3 linked regions of the Nothobranchius furzeri genome follow. The protein of the gene in region 1 purifies or fractionates together with the protein of each later gene. This does not show direct contact. Links are inferred from orthologs where the notes say so. Each region holds a gene or a part of one and is shown on either strand. Other genes may lie near its edges. The genes, in order: ybx1, larp1 and nuclear cap-binding protein subunit 1.

What was found.
Region 2: the proteins of ybx1 (region 1) and larp1 purify together in Homo sapiens (co-immunoprecipitation; 3 studies listed by BioGRID and IntAct, with this or other methods). This does not show direct contact. The link is inferred for Nothobranchius furzeri from reciprocal best matches to the Homo sapiens genes YBX1 and LARP1.
Region 3: the proteins of ybx1 (region 1) and nuclear cap-binding protein subunit 1 purify together in Homo sapiens (co-immunoprecipitation; 3 studies listed by BioGRID and IntAct, with this or other methods). This does not show direct contact. The link is inferred for Nothobranchius furzeri from reciprocal best matches to the Homo sapiens genes YBX1 and NCBP1.

The regions. Positions count from the first base shown.
Region 1 is NC_091755.1:32,516,067-32,519,818, reverse strand, and holds the start of ybx1 (Y-box-binding protein 1), read left to right. Parts: upstream 1-1,401; 5' UTR 1,402-1,578; coding exon 1,579-1,684; intron 1,685-3,200; coding exon 3,201-3,264; intron 3,265-3,498; coding exon 3,499-3,532; intron 3,533-3,614; coding exon 3,615-3,704; intron 3,705-3,752. UniProt on the Homo sapiens protein: DNA- and RNA-binding protein involved in various processes, such as translational repression, RNA stabilization, mRNA splicing, DNA repair and transcription regulation.
Region 2 is NC_091750.1:54,227,401-54,231,052, reverse strand, and holds part of larp1 (la-related protein 1), read right to left. Parts: intron 2,383-3,652; coding exon 2,318-2,382; intron 293-2,317; coding exon 227-292; intron 1-226. UniProt on the Homo sapiens protein: RNA-binding protein that regulates the translation of specific target mRNA species downstream of the mTORC1 complex, in function of growth signals and nutrient availability.
Region 3 is NC_091741.1:71,548,123-71,551,874, forward strand, and holds the start of nuclear cap-binding protein subunit 1, read right to left. Parts: upstream 2,368-3,752; 5' UTR 2,230-2,367; coding exon 2,196-2,229; intron 572-2,195; coding exon 483-571; intron 411-482; coding exon 310-410; intron 227-309; coding exon 70-226; intron 1-69. Other genes in the region: thiosulfate sulfurtransferase/rhodanese-like domain-containing protein 2, read left to right, coding at 2,613-2,738, 3,103-3,389, 3,489-3,597, 3,698-3,752. UniProt on the Homo sapiens protein: Component of the cap-binding complex (CBC), which binds cotranscriptionally to the 5'-cap of pre-mRNAs and is involved in various processes such as pre-mRNA splicing, translation regulation, nonsense-mediated mRNA decay, RNA-mediated gene silencing (RNAi) by microRNAs (miRNAs) and mRNA export.

The sequences.
Region 1 (3,752 bases):
CTCATTAAAAATAAATTGTCCATTAATTACTTTCCTGGTATTCAAAAGGACTGATCGTCTGGGATTAGACCTCCGATGAATCCCCAAAGTCTGTTTGATAAGAATTTAGAAAAAATCTTATTGTCTGAACATAACAAGGAAACTGGTCTCCAGTATTTTAGTTGGGTTAAGTCCCCTTTTTCGGCAGCAGGGACAGAACGCCCCACCTACACGATGCAGGAAGTGCTCCTGTCTGAAGTGAGTCTTTAAAAACATCCATCAGGTCCTGTCCCATACTGCTCCAGTAGAATTTGTAGAAGTCAGCAGGTAAGCCATCTATCCCCAGAGATTTTCCTGCAGCCATCTGGGAGACTGCCGTTGTAAGCTCCTCCATGGTTATGTCTGCATTTAAGATGTCTTGGTCTGCTGTGGTCAAGGAAGGGAGCCCCTGCAACAGCTCTCTGGCACAGTTCACATCACATGGCCTTAAATAGGCTGGTATAGAATTCTCCTGCATACTTCCTCATCTCCACTGGGTCTGTGGATAACTGTCCATCTGACAGACGAAGAGCAACCATTTGTTTTTTTCTGGTTTGAAAGTCTTTTCCAGGTTAAAAAAGAAGGATGTTGGAGCATCCATGTCCTGTAATGTGGTGAAACGAGCCCGGATCAAGGCCCCTTTGGCCCTCTCTTGCACGAAATGCCCAAGCTGTTTTTTTTTTTTACCAGAGACATAAAATCTGTCTAATCTAGCAGCACTAACTCCGAGAGAGAGAGAGAGAGAGAGAGAGAGAGAGAGAGAGAGAGAGAGAGAGAGAGAGAGAGAGAGAGAGAGAGAGAGAGAGAGAGAGAGAGAGAGAGAGAGAGAGAGAGAGAGAGAGAGAGAGAGAGAGAGAGAGAGAGAGAGAGAGAGAGAGAGAGAGAGAGAGATTAACCGCATGCGCTTCACACATTGGCCTGTGCTTGTAAAGGGTGCCAGTGGTGCATGAACATAATATGAGTGGATTCTGCAGTTACCTTTGTCTTTACCTGCTAATATTTATGGGGTGTTTATTTGTCTTTTCTTAGAATGTTCCCACGGTAAACATCACAATAGTAGTAATTATTTCAACTATCTAGAAACGACAAAATAAATTAAACATAAAGTTGTCACATTTGCAACATACCACATGTATGGTTCACAGTTTTGTATGACATAATTCAAAATGCATAATACTATCGGAAGTGTCACAAGCAGAATTCTCTCGCTTTTACGTCACTGGGGGCGTTGAGACTTCTGTACGTCTTTTTGACCAATAATTTCATCAAAGGCTTTGCTCAAAAAAGATTGACAGTCTCAATAGCCAATTGGAAGGAGATTTGTTCAATTCTACATATTTTAGCTAATCAGGAGACGAGATGGGCGGGTCTTCGCCTGGGAACATTCCCCTGCACTGTCTCTTGTTCTGCCCAGTTCGATCGGCAACGGGAGCGGAAAGAAGAAAGCTGAGAGCCCGAAGGCAGTAGCCCCCACCACCGCCGGCCCAGGTTACCATCTAGCACCGGGAAAAATATCAGAGAGCCGCCGCCGGCTGAAGCCATTACCAACGAGTAGTAACCATGAGCAGCGAGGCCGAGACGCAACAACCTCCACAGCCTGCTGCGGATGCGGAGAGCCCATCCAGCCCGGCACCCGCAGCTTCCGCGGGGGATAAGAAGGTCATCGGTAAGAATTCTTAGGCTAGCCGAGCCGGAGTTATCATTTATAATTTATACGCTCTTGGGTGTGGATGTAGCATTTGAATAAAAGCTGCCGTTCTTGCGTGAGAATTTCAGCCACGTCAAATTAATTTGCTCCAGTTGGTAAACGTTAGTGCCAGTTGACGGATAAATTCTTCACTCCTTTGGGCATTCTTATTATAATGGTCCAAAAAATTCAATCTAACGGTTTTTATTAGTCTAGTTTCTAAAAATTGAGTGGTTTATTCACAGATTAAATCGTGAATTCCATTCTGATTATCTCCATTGCTCATCGGCCTCCTCACGTCAAATATCCGTTTGAGAGTCGCGTGTATCCGGCCGGTCATCACATGGATGCTCGCTGTCACTTCCAACCGTTGCCAGAACCACGATGTTTTGACTAGGGTTTAATAACTGCATAACTGCATCTGGACCGCCAATAATTGCAGAACAATCCTACCAAATGCTCTATAACACCGGTTCATGTGAAATAACTACAGTGGCTACGAACGTTAGCTGCTTAACCATCTCTTTGTTCGCACGAAAGAGTCTTGATTCCATGTCAAGGCATTTTATCTAAAATATTCTCCTTTTCCAAAGCGTTCAGTCCCGATTTTTTTGGCCAAATTGTCAGAAGAAACGTTGTTGGCTAGCGACTCCAGCTACATCCGTCAATGGCGGTCTTATTTTGGTTGAATTTGCGTGCTGTCGGTGTGGCCTAAATACTTTACTATAGATCATCGGTTGCTAACCTAGCTACATTAGCCTAGCCAGCTAAGTGGCTATTTACATGGCTTTAGGGGAGGCCGTCCAAAATGTCCGCCGTGTGTTTTCCCGTTTTTTCCCGCTGCTTTGTAATTTGTTCGCTAAAAACTAATTCAAAACCGAAATCTTTATCATATATACCAATAAATACGGATTAATGTAGTTTAGTAATGCGCGTTTGTTTGTTTCTCTTTGCTGGCTCTACTCCAACCACATGGTACTAACCTTAGCCACACAGCCATGCTAATAGCCAGCAGAGCACAGCTCACAGCTCGTTAACGTATCCGGGTGCGACCCAACCACGTGTGAACCTTCAGGTTCTGCGTCCTAAAATGGAGCAGCAGGTCTGCAGTAACTAAACATGCGAGTGCAGAGACTGGTCGCTGTTTGCATCCTCATCTTTGTCATGCATTATGGGACATTTTGGATGCGTCATTTGGGACAGTTGTTGTATCGTTACTGGGATATTTTCTTACTGGTGGCTCATGTTAGGAGCAGCTGGCCCTGGGGTCTCCTAAGCATCAGTGTCTATAATAGGAGTGACAGTTGCGGGTTAAATATAACCTCTACGTTATGTGTGGCCATAGTTTTTAATGTTTTTATAGTTCTGATGTAGTTCGTTAAGTGTCCCATCATGATGGAAGCGTTTCAGTTTCACTTAAGCTATATGGATTTGTTCTAAATGCATGTCAGGCAGACGATGGTATTTAATAATCTTGTTCTGACTGTGATTGCAGCAACAAAAGTCTTGGGTACAGTCAAATGGTTCAACGTCAGGAATGGATATGGTTTCATCAATAGGTGAGTCACCTGTTGGTCCCTGTGTCAAAGTACATTTCTGGGTGTGGGTGAGAGTGAAGCATGCTAATCCTATTAAGTTATGCTTTGCGTACTTGGCTGACCATATTATTTTTCTGCTCATCTCCATCCTGTTGCAACCCACAGAACTTAATTAATCCCCACTGGCTTAGTTTTAAGTCTGTTTGCAGAGGCTCAGCAGAATGCAGCTAACTAAGATTCTGTTCTTTTGTCTAGGAACGATACAAAGGAAGATGTTTTTGTACACCAGGTCAGTTGTTGCTTTAGTTTTTATTCATTTATTGAAATTTGTGGTTAAGCAGACTTGACATTCAAACTATTTGTAATTTCAGACGGCCATAAAAAAGAACAACCCAAGGAAATATCTTCGCAGTGTTGGGGACGGAGAAACTGTGGAGTTTGATGTAGTTGAGGGAGAAAAAGTAAGTTTCTTTGATTTGTTTGTTTAAAGGACATTGTGTTCCATCATG
Region 2 (3,652 bases), on another chromosome or scaffold:
CAACAAACACTAAAATACCTCCTGGAGGAAACTAGACTCAATGGAGTTAGCTGCAGCAGGACAAATGGACCCAACATTACTCAAACGTTTATCAGCGTGTTTTGTGTCAATATGACCAAATCTGTTGTAGAATGCAACCAGATGCTTGTTAAATACACAGCGATGTGTATAGAGGTCACGCTGCTTCAGCTTTAGCCCACGCCTCCACGCCAACCATGACGCCTACCTGCATGTCTTTAGTCGCTATCTCTCCTGGGGTCGGCCAACTGTTGGTGTCACCAAAATCTCCCACCTGAACAGAAATGGGATTAAAAAAACATACGTAAAGAAAATAAAAGAGGTGAAGGATTTATTCTAATGTGTTAAAAGGAAACTTAACTCTTTTGAACAATTACTTTCTCTTTCTAATGGGGAAGAAAAAAAACATTTGAGGCTGTTTGAGTACTGACTGGGTCATTTCCATTAAAAAATTTTAAAATAAAAATTATTCACTAATTTGTAATAAATTGGAAGAGTCACTTCCTGAAATTTGAAGACGTTGATCCTGATCGTGACATTTAGTCATAAATTTACTAAATCAGAAAGATGCTTTTGGGATTTGGAAGCTGGAGTCATGGGTTGAGTTCTGTTAAGGAAAACTGTTGGTCTAACGGTTGTTGGTTGAAAACAATTATCAATCCAAATCTGCCCCTCAGCAAAAGTACCACAGATGTACCAAACACTCCCTAATTACTTCACTATGACTCTGGATTAAAGAAACAAACACTAACCCGGGCTTTCCACCGGATGAAAAATGTGCCACAACCTCTGTGGAGTGTTCGAGAGTCAAATGTGTTTCACACAGCTGGTCCAGCGAGGTCACGAAATTGCCCAATAAATTCAAGACCACGCGTGATTTTGTCAGTTCTCGCAATAATGAGCAGTGAAGACAGCTGCATGAATCCAAAAGGTGTGTAGATGTGTGTGTAGCCAAATGTTTTACACCGCTCCCATGTTTGACTTCCTGTCTGGCCCGATCTGAACCGCTGAGTTTGACGTGTTCTGGAAGCATAAACCTGGTGTGTAAAGCCTAGTTTATGCTTCTGCGTCGGTGCGGAGACACGCAACGCCAATATGTGTCCTTGCACGGGTTCTCCAGCAGGCTCGCAAGGACGGAGGGAGTCGTGCCCATTTTTCTAATCATCTGTCCAACGAGACAGAAAACGCAAGCTTGTGATTGGTCAGGACGCCACTTTCGCCAACAGCACCGCCAATGTGCCCTCAAAAGCATAAAGAGAGCTAAAGATATCTAGCGACAGATAGGGCCGTGCAATCTGACGATATAAGACCATTAAGGATTATATAGTGATGACGATCCACCAAAGCTGGGAAATTGTGTGTCATTATTTGTGGATTCATCTACCAACACATTTTTTCTCAGCCGAGTCGTGCTATTTGCTAGTGTGCTTCTGTCAACACGACAGGCACACCAGCGCAAGTTTAAGGCAGTGTGTTGTTATGTTTAGCTGGGGTGCTCGGTAGAGCTGAGGAAAATAATCTAACAATGGAATGGATGCATTAAGATGCGAACATTAACGATTATGAATCTTTGAAGAAGCACACCATACTATATAATAGCGGCTATCTGCTAGCATTAGCCACTAGCTCAAAAGTCTGCTCGATCAGGGAACCTCTGGGCCAATGTTCTGCTCTAAATGCTGCATTTAGCTTTCTGACTTTTATTATTCTGAGTCGTTTGTGTGTGTTTTAACGAGCCTTTTCACAGCGGATGCCAACCGGAACATTGTGCAAACCCTCTCCCCCGCATAATCAGGAAACAGCTACGGAGAGCAGTGAGGGACACATAGAAGACAACAGTGAGTGTAATCCTGACTAAAGAATGCATGAGATGATAATGCATCATGAATTTAGCTTAACAAGAGATTTTTTTTCTCTGAACAAAAAATATTTACTGGTAATATTGTGGATGATAGGATATGAGCCACCTCTAGATAAAAACTTAATTATTGCGCACCGCTGCTTGCCCAGGCGAAACACACCCACAGACAATAATGACGGCTACTAGCTGCGTATTGAGCTGTGCAGACATTACACAACGATTACGCATTTGGTGGAAAGCCGGGGTCATGACAGTAATGGGAGGTTTGAACATTTTAGAAATTTTTTGAGTGCAATGGTTGATGACAACTGGTTTTATTGGTTAGATAAATATCCAGCTACAACTTTTCTTACCGTTTTTAATATTTCAGCATAAAATAAAATTACACATCATCATTAAAATCATCTTATTCTAAGACTTTCTAACTGAAAGGCTTACCTTTCCTCCACGCCTGCCTTTGGGAGGATTCCCTGCTTTCACCACCTTGGCTGGACCAGTCAGTTCTGGTAGGAACAAAACAAAAACACAGACATTACCAAACTGCTAATAATAATAAATAATGTGCTTTAACTGAACGCTGCGCTGGGTCTTTTGAGGTGTAAACTCACATTACTGCCTTATTGGCCCGTTCATAACAGGGACACATTTGCCAAGAAGGATTAATTCAACTCTAAGAGTTTGGAAAACTGATGTGTCAAGTTTAAAGGAAATTAAAAAACTCCAGAAATTGGAGTGTCATTAGAAACCAATTCAGCAGGTGGTCACAGAGAAGTTCAAAAAGCTGTGTGGTTTACCCGACGTCTGAACTTTGGACTGTTTAATTTGAGGCATGGAGTTGAGAAACAGTTTAATAGGAATTAACTGACTCCTGATGTAACAGAGTTGCTTCACGTTGTTTGCTGGACTGCCGCCTGTCCTCCAGCAGTTTCTCTGGTGCTAAATTCTCAGAAGCTTCTTGCTTTAATGATGGAGAGCATCACCTCCCAGGATGAATGTAAGCCCCGAGCAGGTTTAGGTGTGGTGTCCCTGAGCGCTGCACCAAGATAACATGAAAATCTTTTAGCAGAACTGACGGTGTCCCTCAGGGCGCTTCATTAGTAGGGACTAGAGACGGGCAGCAAAAATAACATCTAACAAGGCTTTAGTTTGGTTCTAGACGCAACAAAAACTCTCTAAATCTGCCTTTTTTCACACGCATCACACCGAACATTTTACGTTAGCATGCCAAAGCATCATTAAAATCAGCCCAGCTCCAACAATAACACTAAGCTTGACATTAGAAGCTGGCTGACAACAGAATACGAAAAGTTTATTGAACTTTCAGAGAATTAATAAAACGGTATAGACATTTTTTATTATAATAAAGTCAAAGAGTCAAACTGGAGACATTTGCTTAGTACAGATACTTTTCCTTAAAATAAATGTATTTATCACATAGTTGAAAATAAACTTTTAAGACATTTGGAGAGATCTTTCATGATGAGATTTAAAATCAAATTAAAAATCCTCATGAGCCACAAAATGAGATTCATGTTTTCATGTTAAAATAATGTTATGATTTTTTTTATTTGTACTGACAAAAGGCCTAAATTAGACATATTAGTGAAAAGCTGAAGCTAGAAAACTAGACGTTCTAAGAATGAAAGCGGGGACGCACAAAATCCCCCCCAGGGCCGCAGACGGCCTCAGGCCTCGCTGCAGACATGATTGTTCCCCTGGAATTCCCTTAGTCTTTCTCCAAGAACAAGTTTCTTAATGTTCATACTTTAATAT
Region 3 (3,752 bases), on another chromosome or scaffold:
AAATTAACCCATCATGATGAATTTTAAACTCCCTTTTGTGAAGATTTATTGTGTGAAAATCAGCTTTACCAGGTAAACAGCTTCATTGTACAAGTTGTTTTTCAGGGTCTCCTTCAGCTGTCTGATCATGGCCTCCACAAACTCGCCTCCAAAGTTGTAGTTCCTGGCGTTGAGAAGGCCGACCAAGGTTGTGTAGACGGTAAGCTTCTCAGGTAGCAGGCGGGCGCTGTTGACACACAGTGCTTTAGTAAAGTCTGCCTTCTGAATGCCTCTTTATTAATCAGAAAGCAATAACCTATACAAACATACACAGAACATAAAATACGCAGAATTTTGTTTTTGTAGTTTGGAAGATCTGCCTCTAAGACGCCCGCAAGGCCCTCCAAGTTGCTCTCGAGGGATGATGTACTCTGTTAATAACAAAATACAACAGAGTCAAGTGATGGAGATTTCAGAGCATCTCTCTGTCTGTCTGCTCTTACTTTCTCCCCAACACGACATATCAGGGATTCCAGACGATCTTCAATCTCAATAGGTTCAGAAGTTCTCCTCCTCTTGTGAGCTTGACCTCCTGGTGGGTAAAAGAGTCACACAATCAACACATGTTCATAAACTCTGACCGACACCACAGAAAACACCAACAGAATCTGCGTAAATGAGTAATACATGTAAACACTTGCATATTTATTTGATAAAGGTTGTGTTGTGCTAAGAAACACCTAGATTAACAGAAATTAAGCTGATGTTTAAAAGCTTACACTTTTTAATCGAAGCAGTGCCTTTTAGCAACTTCATCATTGTAACCCAATAAAGGTATTCCTCTGTTAAGGTCACCAGACACAGACATCGCCACACCATAACCCAGTGTCCTTGCATGGCATCAGGGGGCAGACAAGTGTCCGAGTTCAGACTCACTCTAGTTCAGTAGACAAGAACATCTAATCCTAATGTTCAAAACAGTATTATCTATTGAAGATGACAGGCCAAGTGTGTGTGTGTGAGTGTCTTGATAAGGCGTAAAGACTTGCGCAAAAGAATGAGCAACACATCAAAGTTGATTCCTTTAACACAGTTTACGGAGTATGAGAAAGTTTCTTCTCCTAACTCACATCAACACATGAGCCCCTTTTTAGATAATTAATCTGTTAGCAGCATTATAAAAGGAGAATGTCAATACTTTAGCAATTATTCTGTTCCAGAGTGAAGTTCAAGGCTTTTAATCCTTGCTATTTTGACCTGTTGAGGACATACTGACAATGAGACATTATCTGCTTGACAAACCTTCTCAGTGGCCTAGTGGTATGGGTCTCCACCCTGCGACTAGGAAATCAGGGTTCAAATCTGGTTGGGTCATACCAAAGACTTTAAAAATGGGACCCAATATCTCCCTGCACTCAGCTTTAAGGGACTGCATTGGGGGACTAAACCACCAAATAGTTCCCAAGTGCAGCCATCGCTGCAGTTCGCTGCTGCCCACAAGGATGTGTCAAATGCAGAGATGTAATTTCACCAGTGTGCGATGATGACTAATGGGACTTTAAATAAAACTGACAACAATGGAAGGTTTCTGAAACATTCACTTGAAGCTCACACATACTTTTAGGCAGTTACATGACTATTTAAGATTTTTCTCATTCCATGTTTTGTTTTCCATTACCAGCATCTGCATATTATACATGGGTTCAACTGTGAACACATTTCTGTACAAGCAAAAGGGAGAAACGTTTAAAAATGGAATACGCACTGCTTTAACAAAATCAATAGGACAGACACTGGAAATCAAATATTTTCTCTAGAATGATGCTTGTTAGCAGTTTAGCTCACCACATGACGTGTCAGGATTAATTTCCGACTCAGTTTTACACTTTTAACAACTTACCAGAAATGATCCAATTATCAGGTTGTGTATCTTTTACTCATTGGTACCGCCTCCATATCAGTTTAGTTAGCCATCAATCAGCTAACAGTAACAGCATAGGTTATTGGCGGTTGTCTTACGCTGTTCATTCAGCTTCGCTGTTTAGTTTTGCACAAATGTCAGCTGATAACGAGTTTGCTCTTTTTAATTTTGATGGAAGCTATCCAAAAACTCCACGTGTATTAGCAAAACAAATAACCAACATGGGTGAAGGAAAGGAAAACACGCTAATGTTAGCCTATTAGCCTAAAGTGTGACTGAATCTCCGCCGATTTACCGTCATTCTCGTCGCTGTGTCGTCTCCGGGACATATTAGGCCACTTTAAAATCCACACAAGACAACCAAAAGAAAAAACCGATATGAAACGAAGCAGCAAGTCGGACGAACTAGCTGATACTTAGTTAATTTAGCCTGTGCAACGCAGAAACCACCGCAGAAAAATAACAGCGGTATGATTCAAGTGGAGAACTTCCGGGGCAGCACGAGGTCAAATGAAAAGTCCGTCCTCCTATTTCGTCCGACATTGTCGGAAACACGTTTGTGACCTTTTTTTCCTCACCGTGTTTGAGAGTTTATGTTTGGTAAGATGGCAGCAAATAAATGTTAGGACAGCAAGGCACGATCACTGTCTTAAAATGTATTTAATTTAGACAAAAAATCGACTAACTGGCAGTGTTTAACAGCTTCGTTAGGATGGAAGCGATTGAAACCGGCTGCTTCATGAATTTGGATGTTGATTTTTCGACAAGTAATGGATTAAAACAGGAGAGACAACTTTCTGCCTCACAAAGAAGATACTACAGTTTCTGCAGAAGAAAGGTGGGGAAAAAACAATGACCGTTTGTTGGCTTTATGATGAGCTAAGTTATAATAATAATGTATACTTTTTTGTGTATTTCTGATTTGAATGCTGTTTTTGTATTGGTGTACAGCGCTTTGTTTGTCCTCCTGGGCATGTGAAAGCGCTCAATAAATAAAGTTGAACTTATATTATGTAAATACTGGTTTATTTAAATAGTTGTAAATGCAGCATTTATTTTATCTGTTTACATGTCTGACAAATGTTAGGTATCAAAATAAAAACAAAATAACCTGCAGCGACAAACTTCATCCCACATTAAACTTAGAATTTTGCACACATTTACTTAAACTAAATGCCATTCGTGCTTCTTCCTTTTCACAGTCATTTGCTGCCTTCGTAGCATCGAAGAAGGAGTGTGCAGGAAAAGGAAGCACATCTTGGTGCTGCTGTAGCCTGACCTTCGTCGAACATGCTGAGATTCACCAACATGTGGCCAAAACTCACAATTCTAGTATACAGCAGCTCACGCAGGCCACATATGAACATTTGCTAAGCCAGCTGGAAAAAGACACAGAAACACAGCAGCTGAAAGGGAAAAAGACGGAGGCAGTGGACATTTCAATGTGGATACCAGATATCAGCCACATCCCTGAGGGTGAACTAAAAAAGTAAACAGAATGGAGTATATACATATCTATATCCATCCCCTTTATAGATTTGATCAGATTTCAACATATGCAGATTGTTTATTTCTTGTTTTTATGAAGTGGTCCTGGGAAGGTTCTGCTCTATTATTGTTACTGTGAAGTGGACGATCCACATGCTGTCTGTGCATGGCAGGAAGCTCTGTGTGAGTCACTTCACCTAACCGGCAAGGTAAGAAAACCCTTTCAGCTAGACTCTAGCACATCATATCAGAAAATAGAGGATTTTAAAGAAACATTTAAGTAGTTAAAATGTCAATCATCTTCTGTAGGTAAGGGTAGCAGCAGAAGGCATCAACGGGACAGTTGGTGGTACCAACGTGGCCA